4 linked regions of the Drosophila melanogaster genome follow. The protein of the gene in region 4 interacts with the protein of the main gene of each other region in a pairwise test. Each region holds a gene or a part of one and is shown on either strand. Other genes may lie near its edges. The genes, in order: saturn, Cyp9f2, CG18539 and Ptp61F.

The links.
Region 1: the proteins of Ptp61F (region 4) and saturn interact in a two-hybrid assay, tested with the Drosophila melanogaster proteins (one large-scale study listed by BioGRID).
Region 2: the proteins of Ptp61F (region 4) and Cyp9f2 interact in a two-hybrid assay, tested with the Drosophila melanogaster proteins (one large-scale study listed by BioGRID).
Region 3: the proteins of Ptp61F (region 4) and CG18539 interact in a two-hybrid assay, tested with the Drosophila melanogaster proteins (one large-scale study listed by BioGRID).

Annotation. Positions count from the first base shown.
Region 1 is NT_037436.4:14,201,308-14,204,807, reverse strand, and holds saturn (saturn), read right to left. Parts: upstream 1,486-3,500; 5' UTR 1,375-1,485; coding exon 1,156-1,374; intron 1,097-1,155; coding exon 599-1,096; 3' UTR 514-598; downstream 1-513.
Region 2 is NT_033777.3:12,402,786-12,407,642, forward strand, and holds Cyp9f2 (cytochrome P450 9f2), read right to left. Parts: upstream 3,244-4,857; 5' UTR 3,124-3,243; coding exon 2,918-3,123; intron 2,105-2,917; coding exon 1,585-2,104; intron 1,524-1,584; coding exon 866-1,523; intron 809-865; coding exon 642-808; 3' UTR 555-641; downstream 1-554. Other genes in the region: Sol1, read left to right, coding at 1-95; CG5167 (uncharacterized protein), read left to right, coding at 3,939-4,857. UniProt on the Drosophila melanogaster protein: May be involved in the metabolism of insect hormones and in the breakdown of synthetic insecticides.
Region 3 is NT_033778.4:18,296,512-18,299,440, forward strand, and holds CG18539 (uncharacterized protein), read left to right. Parts: upstream 1-1,669; 5' UTR 1,670-1,688; coding exon 1,689-1,754; intron 1,755-1,812; coding exon 1,813-1,965; intron 1,966-2,031; coding exon 2,032-2,370; 3' UTR 2,371-2,392; downstream 2,393-2,929. Other genes in the region: CG18537 (uncharacterized protein), read left to right, coding at 1-122; CG18538 (uncharacterized protein), read left to right, coding at 559-606, 685-840, 896-1,240; CG18540 (uncharacterized protein), read left to right, coding at 2,822-2,896.
Region 4 is NT_037436.4:1,344,594-1,352,314, forward strand, and holds the start of Ptp61F (protein tyrosine phosphatase 61F), read right to left. Parts: upstream 6,007-7,721; 5' UTR 5,884-6,006; coding exon 5,779-5,883; intron 4,950-5,778; exon of another isoform or gene 4,606-4,949; intron 1,858-4,605; coding exon 1,684-1,857; intron 1,613-1,683; coding exon 1,350-1,612; intron 1,272-1,349; coding exon 905-1,271; intron 569-904; coding exon 33-568; intron 1-32. Other genes in the region: CG9166 (uncharacterized protein), read left to right, coding at 6,593-6,878, 6,936-7,196, 7,260-7,438. UniProt on the Drosophila melanogaster protein: Non-receptor protein tyrosine phosphatase. Required for maintaining dock/dreadlocks in its non-phosphorylated state. Negative regulator of InR/insulin-like receptor signaling through dephosphorylation of tyrosines when recruited by dock/dreadlocks.

The sequences.
Region 1 (3,500 bases), about 13 Mb from region 4:
TTCCCATGCAACTTGTTTGCTGCCAACATGTTGTTCGGCGATACTAAAAACTAAAACTATGCAACATCTACAAATCTGGCCAACAATAAACATTCTCATGTACCTATTAGATAGATGGCAATTACCTAAAACCGAAGCCAAATTGGCGACAGACGTACTTTCAAGCCGTTTTCAGCTGCCAAATAATTCAAATACATGCAGGGGGAAAAAAACGGGAAATTGTCGCCAGGTCTGCCAAATAGCCAAGAAATGCAAGCCAACTGCCAAACAATGTTGGGCCCCCGCAAAGTGGCTTGGAAACTGCCTCGATTAGGCAGCCGGCCACCTTTAAGGCTAATTGAGGGCCAACCACGTAGACTTGGGAACTATGCACGGGAAAACAGAGATACACAATGAAATAGGTGAAAATTACCACGAAAGACAATTGGAAATCACTTAAAGCCAAAACGCTTGCGAAGGCAAGATGTCAAGGTTGGCATAGGGCTATAATGAATTACGATCACAACAAGTTTTATACAAATCACTATGAATGGTTTATTACAAATTCGAGCACTACAATTTTAATGAAATTTCAATATGAAAATTCCTGAAAATAGATCTAGAGCTTCCATCCCGTTTTCGTGTTTGAAGGAGATGACCGTTTACGCATATTTCTATTTTCCACGGATACATTATTTTCAGCTATAATCTTCGTGGGTTTCGCTATATTAATGTGCTTGGTCTCATCTTTGGCTGGTTTTCCCTGATCTGTTAGAGCAAATCGCACCCTATTTTTTACTACGGAATCTTCTCGAGGTTCGGCGTCTGGAATCACAGGCTCCGGTTTATTTTCTTCTCGTACTAGCGCTTTAGTTTCACTAATTTTGTCGAATTCTGGGGGGAAAGGATCAAAGATTTCTTTAAATTCTGAAAGTTTGTCATCATTTGCGTTGGACTCTGGTTCATCCAAGTAATTAATATTACTCCTAATATCATCAGAAATCGCTAGCGGCGGCTTGGGTATTACGGTCGAATTTAGGGCTTCTTGCAGCATGGCCATATCCTTGGTTACAAACTTAACACGTTTTCTCAGTGACTCAATCTCCGACATAGGCACCTAGAACAAAACCCTATTAAGCCCCTTCTACTGTACGTTTTCCCCCCCCTTTAACTTACATCGTTCCATTTGTGTTTGAATCTTTTAAATACAAGTAAGAGGAGTACGATAAGGACAATCGTAAGAATCACCAGGTAAGTTGGTGATCTTTCCAATACCAGAAGTTTCAACAAATCAATGCCTTTAAGAGTAAACCAACAAGCCGATGGCCAAGAATTGCAATACGGCGATATCTTTACCGATGTTTCCAAATCAACTTTCTGACGATAGTTCCACATTTTGGGCCTGACTTTTTGTTAGTTTCTATCTGTAATTTAGGTTGTATTAAAACGGATAACCAACCGGTGATGTTATCACTTTTATAATGTGATTTGAAAAGTATTTTCTTTGCTTGCTAGACTGAATTCAAATGACAACATTTAAAATGTTCCTATGTGGAAAAATATTCGTTCTTTTAAAGAAAATAATTGTAGAATTCCACTCATTCCCTTTCCTTTTTCAGATAAAAATCTTTAACCTCTTCCCACAATTTTCCCTAATTGTTCTCGGTTCTTTAATGCATTTTCCCCCACCATTTCCCAGTGCAGCTTTTTTGAATGCCAAGTGCAGAGAGTGGGAAAAACATGTTCCCAGCAGCGGAGCAAAAACAAAGGCATTTGCATGACAAATTCAAGTCGGCCCAAGTTGTAGTTGCTTCGAAAAGAGTAGAAGCCATGGGAAGAACATCAAGGTCCGGAAAGTTGACAGAGCAACCACAATTTATAGCCTGCGTGGGGTTAACTGATTTGCACACGCCTTAAATGCAGACGATTTTAATTACTTTATCCGATTTCGTGCATAATTTTCGAAGAAATGTTTATGAAAAAAATTTGTTTAATAATTGAAATGCTAATCGATATTGATCGATGCTCTAGTAATGATCTAACTATTACAGCCTTAGTTTAATGATCAAAATGATCAAAAGTATATAACAGTACATAACGATACGAGATAAATGTGTCAGAATCGATAACATCAGCAGACTGAGTTTTATTTTGGGTCAAATTTTGTTCGCGACTTGACAAAAGTGCCGGCCTAAATTCTGAAGAGTTAACAATTGCGGCAAGTTAAACCTGTTTCTGGAACCCTCTCACTTCACTTCCTCCGATCGGATGAGCGAAAAAATAAATTCCAACAGCATGACAACCCCATCGAGTCAGCCAACTTGTAAGCCACATCAAGAGGGAAGGAGTTGGCTAAATTGAGGGGAGACAAGAAAAGACCCGCATCTTCTACCTTCAACCTTTTCGCTCGGTCCCCGAGAAAAGTTCACAAAAGCGGCCAAACTACTTTTGGCTCAAGAAGATGGCAGCAGGAAGCACGGTCGCCAGTTGACAAGCAGAACTGCCAAAGGAAGTTATATAAATTGCAGCAGATTCCATCTTGGAGCTCTCTCATTGTACTAACATAAATCTCATGCTGTTAATCTGATATATTTATTTTACTTTCGTTTTGGTTTCAGTTGCAATTAAGTCCCAGAAAAGAGAGCAATTTTTTTTTCGGTTGTAACTTTTATGACAGCCTCCCCCGCCGGCAATAATCATAAATTTTAGTTTTTGGGGGTGGCAGCGTTAGGAAAGCTCTTGAAAATTGCCCAATTGAACATCTATGTAGTTGTACAACAATTGAAACAGGCGAATAAGATGGGAAAAACTGATAACTAATTTAGGCAGAAGAAAAACAAGCAATTGAGCAAACCAGCTAATGGAAAATTGGGAAAAAAACCAAAGGCAACTTATAGCTGAAATTAACAATCTTAGATAAGCGAAGTCATGGAAACGCTTGTGAAAACATCAAATGTGATGAGGACAAATACTGAATTAAAAACTATATATATATATTTTTTAAGGAGCAGTGCACCAATAATTTTTTTAATTAAGATAAATTATAAATATTTTTATTTACAAATCAAAAAACCAAAACCAAAATGGAGCAAGAATGGGGGTTATGATTTATATGAAGCTCTACATGAAACCCCGAAAGAAATTATATTCAAGGGTGCTTACTGTCTCATGGATCCCCAACGACGCTGGGATAAACTATCAGGATTGCTGTAAGAAAAATTTTTATCAATTGGGATATCTAATAATAGTCTTATTCGGTTCAGTTTTAACCGCAATAGAAACATAGCAATATAGCAATCTTTCTAATCATCTTATTTTCTTTTATATAAGTTCATATATAGAATGAAATTTACGCCTAATTTTCCAAATATTTATATAGGCAGTTATTTAGAATTATTTAAAATTGCCAATATAATTATATAAAATTGTTATTTAAATAAATGATTTATTCTAGCTATAACTAGGTAACACTCATCACTGTATAATTTAAGAGAATTGTTGCACTCTCTTACGATCAGTTG
Region 2 (4,857 bases), on a different chromosome or scaffold from region 4:
TCGTCTCAACAGCGTCAACTCAGCCGGTTGCAAATGTAAACAAATTAATTGCATGTATCTTATGCACTTATAAAGCATACCAATCTTATGTTTAAAATATAGAGACAAAATATTTCGAAATTTTGTTTTCTAATTCTTTAATAAATTTTAATAATTTTTTTCTATTTTAATGGCACACAACTTCATTAAATTTAAATATTTAATCTTGGCCAAATTATCGTTTTAAAAGCAATCGATTTCATGTTGGCTATCGAAGTTTATGCGTAGTAGTTCAAGAACTAACAATTTAAGTTGAGGGATTTTAAGTATTAGGATGTAAATTAAACGTGATATCATCGATAAAAACTCCGCCAAGCATTTTCATTTTCAATAGTTTCTGGTAAAAATTATTTATTTAATTTCAACTTCATTATCAGAGTTACCGTGTAAACGAGCCACTCGTTGTTATCTGCAATCGATCTTTACCTGTTCGATTCAGTTTTGTAGAGTCACGACATAAGTATATGCTATCTTTTTATCATTTTTGGTATAAATTAAAAACAAAGAAACAAATTACCATTAATTGTTTAAATTTAATAATGTCAACTTCTTTAAAACATAACATTCAACAAAACATATTATTATTTTGATCGTTTATAAGATTAGTTCCTTTGAACAAGTTTAATCCAAAAGCCGCCTTTGGGTGACAACTGAAAACCGGAAGTAATGAGCTCTAGTGGAATGCAGGATTTCTTGGCAGGGGCAAAGCGGTAGTCCTTCAAAAGATAGTAGATAACAGCCTTTGCTTCAAGTAGAGCGAATCGGGAACCTATAATAAATACATTTTACATTTTTTCGAAGAACAATTTTGAATCAATCAACTTACCAATGCAGTTGCGTTGACCCAGGCCAAAGGGGAAGTATGTGAATGGCTGAATAGACTCCTTGTTCTCATCGCTAAAACGTTCCGGATCGAACTTCATAGGGTTCTCAAAGTACTTGGGATCACGATGGAAGCCGCATGTAGGCAGCCAGATGACATCGCCCTTCTTGACCTCGACTTTCTGGCCATCCACATCGAAGGTGATATCCTTGTTGCATTCTCGATCGACGGCAATTGCCGCCGGCCACTTTCGCAGAACCTCGTTGACGACCTGATCCAGATACTTCATGCCCATAATTGCCTCATAGGTCAGTTCTTTGCCCTCCAGGTCTTGGTCCACTTGCTGTACCTCCTCGTATAGCCTCTGCTGCACATCCTGGTTCTCCATTAGCTCGTGAGCGGTGAAGCACATCAGCACCGCCGAAGTCTCGAAGCCAGCAAAGAAGAACACGAAACACTGGGCGACAATGTCGCGATCGCTCCACTCGCGAACGGCAGATGCCTTGGTCTTCTCCGTCTGGATGATACCACGAGCCTCCATCAGCATGTTTATCATGTCGGGACGTACAATATTGTGCTCCTGTCGGTATTTCATAGCATCGAGCACCAGACGCACGAAATACTGAGTGCTTTTCCTATCGAAAAGCTCGACCTTAAGGATCTACAAGGATTATTAAAATTAAGGAATATATTTTTTTGATATGTGTGTATGCTGTGCCAACCTTATTAAGACCCTTCAATGCGAAGAACAACATGAACTTCATGCTCTGCAGGAATGTAAATGTGGTCAGCTTTTTTCCCATCTGATAGAAGGTATTTTCGCGATCCTTGAACGAGTTCACTTGCAGTCCAAAGGCTGTCGAGGCGATCACATCATTGGTGAATCGTGTGCAGTAGTCCTTCATGTCCAGTTCATTCTCCTGAACCCTTGAATCATCCTGCTTAAGACAGTCCACGGCCTCCTTGGCCACCTGGTTCATCAGCTGGAACATCTGACGCATTTTGCTGCCTGTAAATGCCGGACTCAGAGTGCTTCGCATATCCTTCCACCGAGCATCTCGCATGGAGAACAGCGAGCTGCCGAAAAGGTTACTCATGTCATGTGGATCATCATCGCTGCTGGTGGCAAACACATTGCGATGATTGATAAAGTGATCGAAGTCCTTTATGGTTATCTGCTTGATAAGATCTGGGTCGCGCACCATTAAAAGTGGTTGTCGCTGCTCAAAGATACCAAAAAATCTAAAAAAAATAATAATGTTAATGACCGATAAGCTTTTTGTGAGTCACACACTGATAAATCAAATCAGAAATTATTAATCGTGCGCTCAACAAGTTTAGAAAACGATAACAGAAATTCGAGTTTATGCATGGCTAGCGTTGTTCATTACCTATCCGACGAATTTTCAATTAACCCATCTCGATTTCTTTTTGGAAAACTATAAATTTATAAAGCGGATTTCTCGTATTGGTCTATAAATAAATCATATGTACATTAAATCCAATTGAAAAGGCTGAGTACAATAATGATTGCATGTTTATAAAGTAACAAAAAGGGTAAAGTCATACAAAGAGTTGCCCCAATATGAAGTTAATTAATAAATTAGATAACCTTATCGTTATAGCACTTTTCAGGAGCTTTATCAATTATTTTTCCTATCAAGTTTGCCGTCCGAGACAAACAACATTTAAAGCTGTCGTATAATCGATAAGATTATGGCAAACTAAACTAATAGAACCAAGCATTTCGCCAATTATCTTGGCAGTTACACACTGCTTTAGATAAAAGACTTAACAAAATATAATAGAGTATTTCTGAATTTCTGTAATTGTATATTCAAAACGTAGTCGAACGCAGCCGCACCCACTAAATGTGTGTATAGATAGATCACTGATTGCCTGACCTTGACATACGATTTTATATAGGCTTGTACGCAATGCTGGAGGCCAGTAGATACACACTTGTTCCAAACGTGTTTTAAGTGCAAGTGCAAGTGAGCCGGATGCATATTAGGTAATCAACTTATTAAATCCGGATCAATGAATTTAACTCACTTCTTACTTCCGCCTTTGGTGTAGAGATCACAGACTATGTCAAACATGGCCCTCTTCCGCAGGAACATGCCGGCCATGTTGCCAAAGTAGAGCACTGGCTTTTCATAGGCGATGCCCCTATCCTTGAAGAAATCATTGTTGGCGGACGCCCAACGGTAGAACAAGGCGGCAGCGATCGCAAATAGGGCGAAGAACTCCCACAACATGTTGACCCTAGCTTGGCGATCTAAGCGTCCAGAATATAACTAACTACGCCACAAACAATCGGGAGCGTTTTGTTGTCCCCACGCAGAGCTTTCTAACAAAGCTTCGTGTACTGCATTTGATAAAATACTTGTTGTCTGTAATACACACAAGTATGTACAAATTTCTGAGCGCAAATGATTTAGAATATCACTCATCATTTCATTATCACGGCGTGTTGGAGAAAATGCTGACGACTCTGAGCATACCAATATTATGTTTAAAATATAGAAACAGAATATTTCGAAATTCTGTTTTCTAATTCTTTAATATATATTTTTTCTATTTTAATGGCACACAACTTCATTAAATTCATATATTTAAACTTGGCCAATTTATCGTTTTAAAATTCATCGATTTCTTGTTGGCTATCGAAGTTTATGCGTAGTAGTTCGAGAACTAACAATTTGATCTGAGGGATTTTAAGTATTAGGATGTAAATTAAACCATCATCACCATAAATTAAATTATCATCGATAAAAAAGGACGCAAAGCATTTTCATTTTCAATAGTTTCTAGTAAAAATATTTTATTTCATTTCAACTTCATTATCCGAGTTACTAGCCACTTGTTGCTATCTGCAATCGATCTTTACCTGTTCGATTCAGTTTTGTACAGTCACGACGCTACTATCTTCAATAAATACAGCTCTTATACGGTGCGATTAGCATTATTAACATTTCGCCAGTCGGCCGAAGCAGACGAATTACCTTTCGGTCTGGAAGTGATAAGACATTTCTAGTCAAATCATTATAGTCGCATATCTGTGGACTCTGGAATGGCGGCTAAGAAACTGGATGCCATAATCTTCGGTGCCTCCGGGTTTACCGGAAAGTACACCGTCTTCGAGGCTGTCAGCGTGCTGAAGGGCCTGCAATGGGGCATCGCCGGACGCAACCAGGAGAAGCTGCAGTCGGTGCTGCGGGAGATGGGTGCAAAGTCCAAGACAGACCTCTCCCAAACGCCGATCGTCATCGCGGACGTGAACAACGAGGCGTCACTGCTAGAGATGGCCAAACGCTGCCGCATTTTAGTCAATACGGCCGGACCATATCGGTTCTTCGGCGAGCGAGTGGTCAGGGCTTGCATCGAGGCGGGAACGCATCACGTAGACGTAAGCGGAGAGCCACAGTACATGGAAACCATGCAGCTGCGCTACCATGATCTCGCCAAGGAGCGTGGCGTGTACGTGATCAGTGCGTGCGGCTTTGATTCCATTCCCGCCGACATGGGAGTCACCTTCGTGGAGAAGAACTTCGACGGCGTGGTCAACTCAGTGGAGAACTTTGTCCATCTGGGCGTCAAGGGAGGTACCAAGGGAACGGGCAGTGCTGCACTCAACACCGGCACCTGGGAGAGCGCCATTCACGCTATCGCCAACCGGAGCGAGTCTGTGGCCATCCGGCGCAAGTTGTTTCCCGAGCGTCTGCCCAACTTTCATCCGGCTCTTAAGTCACGATCGCCGCTTTCCCGTGCCGCGGAAGTGGACAACAAGGTGATCCTGCCGTTCCCTGAAACAGATCGCTCGGTGGTGATGCGCTCGCAGCGTTTCCTTTACGAACTGGAGAAGAAGCGACCCGTTCAGATGCAGGCCTACATGACGTATCCCTCATGGTTTGCGGCCAGCGTTGTCGTGCTCTTCGCCTCTATCATTGGCATTATGGCCAAGTTCTCCTTTGGCCGCCAGCTGCTGCTTA
Region 3 (2,929 bases), on a different chromosome or scaffold from region 4:
CCGAAGGTTTTCCGGATATCGTGCCACCTGGATTCTACAAGATTATTTTCAATTGTACCGGACCTGATCAGCCATCGTGGAGCTTTATCGGAATTTTTAAAATAATAAACAAAATGTTTTAGCTATGTAGCAATAAATATATATCAAATAAAATACGGCCAAATATTTTTTTAAATCCTTTAAAGCGAGCTTATACACGTGTTTTTCTGAATTTGAACTCGTATCTTCGTACATAGATAAATGTAATACAATGATGTAATAGAACATAAACAATAAAAAACAGAAATAAAAACATTTCCAAAATCAGAAACTAAATATATCAGTTACAATAAGCACATACTTATATAAAAAAGTTATGCGAAGTTTAAGTGTTTCAATGGACTATTCGTATTTAATGGCTGTAAATAGTTATATAATCATATACATTTAGGTACTGTGGGAAAGATCTGCAATAGTGTGATAAAATGCCGTGACAATGTGCACATTTTTTTTTATCAATGGACATGGCTATATAAGCATAAAGCCCGATTTCCCAATACTTAGTTTCATATTGTAATTATGTCTGTCCGGTGTTTTATTGCTGAACTTTGTATGGCACTCCTGCTCGTAGGTGAATGCCAAACGGCGGTAGGTTCACAGTTCATATCTTCCATATATCTTGTAATAATTTAAAGAATTATCCAGCGGAAATGGGACTACGAACCCATATCCATCGAAACCCACTCATCCGATGAGAGTTTAATAAAATTAGATATGAAAATTGAGCGAATCAATCGCGGAGTGTTTGGATTGACGCCAAGGTTGAGTGGAACTACGATACGACTGATGAAACCATGGTACGTGTGTCTTACTTGATAAGTTAGTCCTTTGAATAAGGATTGTGATTTTTCCGTAGGTCGAGGCCAATGTCCTTCGAAGCTCGACGGGAGATGTCAGCGACTACAAGCTGCTTCCTTGGGCCATTCCCAAGCAATCGCTATACGAACATCTGAACACCTATTACAAGGATGTTTCGATGAAGAACTTTAAGCACTGTTCCAATATTCCGCAATTCGAGGGTAAATTCCAACCGCCATTGCCAAAGCAGACCTATTTTGGCAACAAATGCGTGATCGATGGCGATGGGTTGCCAGAAATTGTTCCTGCCGGTTTTTATCTGATTGTGATCAAATGCTATGGACCAGGTCAACCCACATGGAACACTACGTCAGTTTTTAAAATCACACCCAAATTAATGTAAAAACCATTATCTTAGATAAACACATTTTTTTTTTAACTGCGCTTATGTTTAATAAAATCAATGGTAAAAATTTGAAATATTTTAGCTGTTTCGATAAGAAATGAGTGTCCTTGAAGGAGGTAAGAAATATTCAAGAAAAATTCAAGATCAGTAACAATTACTAGTGGAAGAGAATTTTCAGTTATTGTGTAAAAAAATTCACATTTCTCAAATACTTAATATACATTTGTAAGTTTGCTCAATTGTAGCTAAAGACCAACCAATAAACAAAATTCATATTTAATATTCAAAGTCCACACATTTTTTCATGTTTTTGGCATGCAGTCTTGTTTGACATGGTTAGCCCAAAATGTAACAGGGAGTTATATAATTAATACATGCAATCCACTGCAGTTTGCTATATAAATGCAACTAAATTGCAAGTTGATGAAGTTTAAAGTCTGGCTAAATGATTTCGTGTTGTTCGTTGCTATTTTTGCTCGCTACGCTGCTGATCGATGGCTGCAAAGCAGGAGTATGCCAGGATATTCTAACAAAATAGGATACTTATAATTTCTGTGCTCATTCCACAGCGTAACTGGGAGTATGAGCCCTTATCATTGACATCCTATAGCTCAGATGAGAGTCTCTTGAAGATCACCACAAAAATTGATCGACTTGGGCGCAGCGATTATGCATTTTCCATGACACTGGACTGGAACTACGATGTGGATAAGGACACTATGGTTGAGATATTGATTTTAATATCAAGTTTCTATTAATTAAGAAAATGGTTATTAATCGCTGGACAGGTGGAGGCAGACGTTCATCACTGCTCATCGGGTGACGAAGACGATTACAAAATGATGCCCTGGTCCATTCCTAAACAGCCATTTTTCGAATATCTAAACGGTTTCTACAAGGACGCGTTCATCAAGAATGTGGGCCATTGCTCCAATATGGTGCAGTTCGATGGCGATTTTGTGCCACCATGGCCACGAAATGTTTACAAGTTGGACAAATGTGTGGCCAGTGGCGAGGGACTGCCAGATATTGCACCAGAGGGTTTCTACAAGCTAGAGTATAAAATGACAGGACAGGTGGATTGGGGTTTCACCCTGATTGTTAAGGTCTCGCCAAAGGTTATTTAATATTATATTATATGCGGCTCTTAAGAAGTTCAAACATTTTTTTTTCTACTTAACAAATTGTACTATGTTGTGTAAAATGAATTTATATTAAATTGTATTAAATTAATATTTATAAAATTTATATTTTTGTATTTTATTTACAACGAATTTATCGTCTACATTATCAACTTCTGCATATCCAAATATGAAAGAAAATTTTTTTAGCCAATGCAAGCATGACTTGCGCGTTGTGTATTTGTGTAATTTGCTAAATTTGGATGGGTGATACCGTGACGATCAGTAAATTTAGATAAGCTTGACATGATTTACACCTATTCCAACTTCAATAATCTAACAATGTGCACAATTGTACACAATGTTTTCGTGTCACAAATGTTTTTAAAAGATAAATCTAAATTGACAGACTATAAAAGCAAGTAGGTTGCAACTTATATTGTCAATTTAACCAGAAATGATTTCGTTTTGCATTTCATCGCTTTTATCAGTGTGTATTTTTGCAAACCTTTACAATGGTTGTGCGGCAAAGGTATGCTAAGAAAGAAATATTCCTAAATATTTC
Region 4 (7,721 bases):
GATACTGAGCAGATCTAAGACTAGATTCTTACCTGGCTGGGAGCTGGCCTGGAATTGGATCGATGCCGTTCGCCTTGTGCTGCTCGTCGACTGGCACCGCTGGCTTCTCGTTGTTGGCATTAACATCGTCGGCATGTGGCTGTGTTGTCGCGGGCACGTGTCCATTAACTGGATCGGCATCGTGCTCGTTAATGGTCTCGTACTCCTCATCCTCATCGGTGTCGTCCTCGTCATCGTCATCCAGCAAGTAATCCTCATCGCTGTCCGAATCGTTGAAAGCCCTTACGGGTAATGGCGGCAAGGGACGACTGTCGGCCACCTCGGCATCGTGGATCATGTCGTGCTGATTAATGAAGTTGTTCAGGGCGTCCTTGCTCAGCTCTTTGCCGATACTTTCAGCTCCATTAGCCTGGGCCGCGCGCATATTGAGCGAAAGTATACCGCCGGAATTGGGGGCCAGTGGCAGATTAAGCGATTGGACGCGTGGGGGCAATGGCGGCGGCAGCTCATCCAGTGTGTGAGTCTCTGTGTCGTTGCTAATGAGGGGTTCTTCAGCGTCAAGAAAGGTCTGAAGAGAAATCAAATGTTCTAATTAGTCGCGGAAAATAATCAGGGCCTTCACAGAAATCTCTGCAAACCAAAAACAATGGTTTCTTTTTCGCATCAATTAAACAATAATCATTAAGCTGATACTAGATCACATAATAAAAAACAAAACTAAACATAATACAGTTTTCAAAAGTAATCATAATTCCATTAAACAATATGAATTCTAGTAACCATAACCAAGCCCAGAGATTTCTGTGACCCCCCAGAATAAATAGCGATGTGCAATATATACGGCGGTGCTTGGCAGCCCCCAAGTTTGACTCCCAAACGCCGACCGCTGGTCGCGCATACATACGGGATCGTGCAGCTTTTTAATGCCCTCGATGATCGCCTGGTAGGAGAAGTCCAGCTGGTCGGCGGTCTGTATGAGGCCCATGCGGTAGCTGCGCAGCTCGCAGAGCACCTTGGACACATTGCACTCTCCGTACTTGTCGATAAGTACCAGGCAACAGTCCACCAGGCAGAAGGTGCCCGACCGCCCGATTCCGGCACTGCAGTGCACTACGGCTGGACCCACGTCGCGGCTGAGGCAGCCGGAGTCGCGAACCTGCTGCAAGAACTTAAGGAATGCGTTCGGCGAGCTGGGAATGCCAAAGTCCGGCCATGTGGTGTAGTGGAACTGCATCACTTCACGACTCTGCTGCGTTTCGAGATCGGTTAATCTAGAGAAATAGTCAAAGGCAATTAGTCCACATGTACAAATGGTTTGAAGCAGAAGAAGAATAAAGAGTTCTACTCACTTGAACCATCGCCGCACAAAGTTCTGGTAGGTCTCGAGACGGACGAGCTCCACGGTGAGTTTGACGTGGGGCAGTTTCAGGGCCTTGTCGGCTCCCATCTCGTTGGGCCAGTAGAGGTGGCACTTGATCTGTTTCTTCTCCATCAGCTTGTTGAGCATGAGAACTGCTCTGGACTTCTGCTCCCATACCATCAGCCAGAAGTGGCCCACTGTGTCCACCAGCGGTCCTTGGGTCAGGATGTACTGGCGCTCGGCGCGCTCCAGCTAGAAAGGATTGATTGATCGCATTAGGCGTTTAATTAGGGGTGTGTGTATGCATTAAAAACGTGACCCACCTGAACCAGGTTCGCATTGATGTAGTCTACGCTGCCGCGCTTCAAAACAATGCGGGAATGATCGTACGGATTCACATCCCGATAGCGATTCAGGCCGCGGTTCGTGTGGCGTTCCGATTCCGAGGTGCTGAACTGCTTCTCCTTCGCCTCCCGGTCGCAGGTCTCACAAATTTCCTGGAATTCCGAAAAGAGCGATTAGTACAATCGAAACTACCCATAACAACAAAGGTTGAGGTGGTATTAAAATTCGGTCGCTTTACTGACAACTTATCAGTCAATTTGCAGGCGGTAATTCAGGGGATTTTGTGAGATTTGCGCTATTTACCTAAGCGTTCCAGACCCCAGAAGACAACTACTATAGTGTCTTACTGGAAGATCTCTTCTTTCTGGTACAAAATTCGTAAAAAATATAGTTTTCGTGTTACTCAATTATCTAAGACAGTAATAAGACCAAAAGTTCAAACTAATTAAACATTTATGCATGAAATGACCCAACGAATTCTTCGATACAAGAGCAAACAGCAAATAGCAGTGCACAATAGTATTGAATGGCATTGTTAAAACGAATATCAGAGCTTCCTTTTAGAACCATACAAACTGAGAAACTGTAAGGCGCAATTAAGCTTTTTACGATTTGTGTTCCGAGAAAATGAAAACGTTCAGACTCATAATGGTCTGATAATAACTAGTTTTAAAGTGATACATTTGTTTGACTGACTCGCAAACAAATTGTCAAGAAACGAATTGATAAGATCCTGTTAGAAGAATGCTAGAATGTTACAGAAATCGAATTTGTTTTTTTCCATGGGGGTTGCCCCCTTTGCAGTGATTCATCACTTGGCCCAGCGACAAGGGGCTCCTCCGGATTGGCAAACCCTGCGATTGAAGCGATAGTAGATACATGTAAGGGGCATCGGACTGGGAGGGAACCATGCGGCATATGAAAAGCCCACCCAGTCTACATAGCGGGCGTGACTAATTAGCCATGCGATGTTGGTGATGGCGATGGCAAAGCAAGCTGTCGGTAATGGCATTATCTTGGGCATGACCGGTGCGGCATTATCAGCAGTGTGAACGGGGAATTGCTGGCGCAGCTGAAAGTGGCCCCGCCAATTGAACCATCGAATCCGACTACCGAACCGTTAACAAGGTCAATGGCAACCACCTGGCGACGACAAGTGCTCCTTAAACTCGGCTCAAAGCTAATCACATGCATGCGGTGATGAGTAACCATTTAATATGGTTACCCATCAGCTCGCGTTGATTGCAGCTCGAAAATCAGTTGTTAATTGTCAGTTCGTCATGTTTCAACAATGAATCAGCTGCAAATTCTGCAGCTGACCTGTTATGAAATAACTTTAAAGAGTCATATTTTTACGTAATCTCCAAATCTGAGACGGGCTAATGACCGATAAGGAAGCTTTTCAAAGAGCAAAATCTCAATGGCTATCGCTACATTTGATAATTCGTAATTAGAAACGGAAAGAAATCCATGGTTGCACTTAATATTTCTCGAAACTCCTCAACTCAATAGCATTTCTACAATCACCTATTTAAGGTCTGATAATCGACGAGTCACGTGAGAATACGCGCAGATAATTGAGCTGCTTTATTTAAATGTTTGCCAATGATAAAGACTTTCAGTGTACTTATGATGTATAAAGTTGTATTCCTTGTACTATATCAAACTAGATATGATATATAAAATCAACAATCCATCCGGAACTTATGTAAATCCATAGCTTGGATTGGATTCATTCTGATGGAGAAAACAGTTCTTCGGCTCCGTTGAACATTAAGTCTTGGGCCGTTTACCAGCTACATACTGTTTTTTATGCTCGGTGGCTATCCAGGTGACCCTTCTAAACGGAGTGGCGAAATCCAAGCGAAGGCGCGGAAATCTCGGGGGCTTTGGTTTCCAAAGCGTGTCGTGCAAACCGTTTTATGGTTATTATGTTTCTGCTTTACCTTGCAACGCTCGAAGGAAATCGAGAAACAGTAACAAAAACATTGCATGCACGCAGAGCACAATTGCAACGATGGATAAAGACTTCTTGGCCAATACGAATTTGACATACCCTTTCACACACACTATGCGAGTTAACAAGTTTCATATTTCATAAAATCTGGCTTGACTGTTTCCAGAGAAACGAAAAAGAAGACGGTCACCTGTTGATACCAACGACTGGTAAGGACTATAACACCCTCTGGCAGGGTATAGCTGTGGAGGAGCTTCGTCACAGTCCACGGAGGTTGTCATAATGGGACGGAGTGGGTTGGGTGGGATGTTGATGGAACGGATGGATCGAGAAGGCGCTAGGTATGAGCTGATAGGCGGGGAGGGGCGGCGAGTTGAGAAGACCCAGTGTAACGCACTTCGTTCAATGGAAATGATTAAACATAAAGCAAAGCATAGCAAAACAATACGGTCCGAATGCGTCACTGCGTTTTTGGCTACAGTCCAAATCCCCTATGATGGGCTATCATATGGCAAATGTCAAATAAATTGGAAGTTTTAATGATAACCACAAAATTAGTTGTACCGTTTATGTTCACACATATTTGCGATTTATTAATTCTTAGAAGAATGTGTTTTGGAATTTCTATAATAAAGACAGATAAGTGCCTATAATGGATTATAATTTTCTTCAGAAATGTAGTAGCATGCACAGCTAAATGTTATTAAAGTAAAAATTGGGGTAGGTCGGTCTTATTCATAAAGTAATCATCGAAAAATGTGATGTTTTCACATTGATCATAGTTGTTTTTCATTGCAACAAAAATGAGTCAACGTTTACATGCTATGGAACATATAAAATTCAGCGAATTTAGATGAATTTCACGAAAGTAATATTATCAAGCTGAAAACTATTTATGATTTAATGAGAAAATATGATTAAAGAAAGTTTATTGAAATCTCACTTTGGCCTAACAAGATCGTCTTAGTCAAGTTGCACTGTATTTCAGTGGAAATGGCTGGTAGCTATTTTCCAGTCAGTTTCGACGCACAATTGCGGGCTGCCTTCCAGTTAGCTGGAAAATTAGATTATCCTCGACGCGAGCACAAAGGATGACGAACGAGGATGCCGAGGAGCGGGTCCAGAAACGAGATATTTCTACACACGACCATATACTGTGTCATCCTAACTGCGGAGTGGAATTCCGTGAAATCCCAATTCAAGTGAGTGGAAGCGCTGAAAGAGGCACAGAGGAACAGAGGAGGAGGAGTAGCAGCTGAAGACAGTTCGCCGGAACTGGCTATAAAGAACGAGTGGAGGTGGAGGAGGAGAGAAGAAGGGGCAAGGAGAGGATTCCGACTCCAATTCCGACAGGCAACCAGAAGCAGCCCAAAGCGAGACTCAAAAAACCAGACGCATGCCCTTTGTGCCCCTGTGTGCGTGAGCCTCTCTCTCCTGCTCAACGCGAGCGGGTGTGTGTGTGTGTGCGCGCGTTAGAGGAGTTCTTCAGTGGAGAGCACTGTCACCCCTCCACGAATTGTATTTTGTTTTTGGGGGACGGCAATCACAAACACAACGAGCTTCCCAGAAATCGCCTCCAATTTGATTTGGCCAAACGAGAATTCGCGGAATAGCTCAAGCGCTCTATTGATAGTCAAAGGAAAGCGTTTTTGGGGAAAGGTATGGCAGAATAACAAGCATAAATATGCCAAATACAGGCCAATACACACGCACGAACTCACACACACACGCGTTCGATGGAGAATGCAAAGTAAAGTGCAGCAGGTGTGCGTGTATGTGTGTTGGTGCTATTCTGTTTGTACATTCTTTTCCATGGGTTTTTGTTTTTGGCCAAAGCCTGGCTGTTAAAGCAACAACTGCAACAACAACAGCACTGACACACAATACACACGCACACACGTAAAGCTCGCCGCTGCACTGGTGTTGGTGGTGGAGGCATCTGCAGAAGCCTTTTGCGCACTCATCACATTTTCGTGGAAATCGGAGCGCCAAGGAGCTGTGGAAAGGTGTATACTCCGCATCCGTTGCGAATCCTTGGCGAATCGAACTGTGCCACAATCATTCGTCCAGTTTGTAACCAGTTTTCAGTGCAGTCGCAGTTGTTGTTGCCAATTACCTTGTAGAAGCGATGCCATTGCGGCCCCTTGTCCTTGTACTCCGCCTCGATTTGCAGACGGGCAGCGGCCGCCGACCCACTCCCACTCGTTTTCTGCTCGCTCATTGTGCACACTTTGCTGCGATTTGTTCCGATTTAATAACTTTTAATTTGGTTATCAGGCGGCTGGTTAATTTCAGAGGAGAACTAGAGCTGGACAACTCACGACAGTGTCGATGTATCGAATATTTGAGCTTGCGAAATACTATCGGTATTTGCAGTGCGATACCGAGTGATAGTTCGATTGTACATCACTATATTGATCGCATTACATATTATATTCTCTTATGGTGATTCCTATTTACAAATGCAAGCCAAACACAATATATTGTATCTGCGACATTATTATTCTGAAATATTAGTTACGTCTATCGATATTTTCACCATCAAATAATGTGACCAGGCGCTGTAGAGCAATAGAACACATACTGAAACTAAAGTGCTTGCGCAGAAATTAGAACTTTACTGAAACATAATATAACATTCGGGATAAGTTTTCTATAATTTATATAAAATTAAATACTTAACTAAAGACATAACAATATAAAAACAATTGAAATAAAATATTTTAAATAAAAATAAAATAAAAAAAATAAAATAAAATATTTTAAAAGTAAAATAGAAAAATTCTGATAAGAAAATTGGGTTCAAATACTTTAAAATACCGATATTACAATCGCTCATCGTTGACCAGTGTTATCGAGTAATACCAAAAGTATCGAATCAACAACTGTTACCCAATTTATTAATAACAACAGAAAGAAGCCAAAGCAAAATGCTGACCCGCGTGTTCCGCCTAGTGCACGACAGGCGCCTGAGTGTGCCTGTCCTGCGTTGCTTCCACCACGAGTTCTCCAAGCCGCCACAACAGGCAGCGAAGGGCCAGGAAATCGAAGGCAATCCCGAAAAGACTTTGGTTGCCGGCGTGCAAGACAAGTACAAAATATTCCGCGATGAGGAAGCCACGGAGATTTTTGATGTGGAAGAGGCACGCCACCAGGAGCAGCAACTTCCAGAGCCGGACCTGGAGCTGGATCACTATTACGGCCTCAATTTAAAGCGTAGGTTGGCAATCGTCCAGGGAGAGCAGAAATTTAAGCCTTTGTTTCCCTTTGCAGGAGGTGTTCGCGGAGTGTTCGACGTTGAGGACTTGGTGGAGCTGCTCCGCAAGGAGAATGTGGACGACATATTCGTCTGCTACGTGCCGGAGAACCTGAAGTACGTTGACCACCTGGTGGTTTGCAGTGGTCGCAGTTACCGACACATGCTGTCCACCGCGGAGTTCGTGCGCCGAATGTTCAAGATCAAGCGGGGCAAGGGTGACATATTGCCGCGCATCGAGGGCGATAAGAGCCGGGATTGGATGGCCATGGACTTGGGTGGGTATTGAAATAAATGCATATTCCGGTTTCTCCGCTCTAACACGTTCCGTTTCCTTTTAGGCAACATTGCCCTGCACATATTTTCACCGAGTGCTCGCGAGGAATACGATCTGGAGTCGCTGTGGGCCATTGGCTCCGAATTCGACCGCGAAAGCCAAAAACCCACCAATCCCTATGGCGATATTTTCATGGCTCAAACACCCCTTTCTTTCGTAGACAAATCGAAACTAAAGACGTAAAATAATACATTTCACTATTAATAAAAAAAAACTCTTTAGAGCTGCGTACGTGCGAGATCACTTGCAGTGTGATTTGGAAAAACAATAAGGTATGAATAAATATTTCGTGTCAGACTTGTTATTCTCGTGTCACGGCCAAAATAACTATGCGATCGCCCATCTCTAGTTTCTTACTGGGTGCATTCGCTCAGGCAGCCATCTTTAAAATAACTGTAATTTTTATTAACATCGAGCTCTAATAGGGCAATAATAGCCATAATCCGTCAGAATATGACAGCAGTAT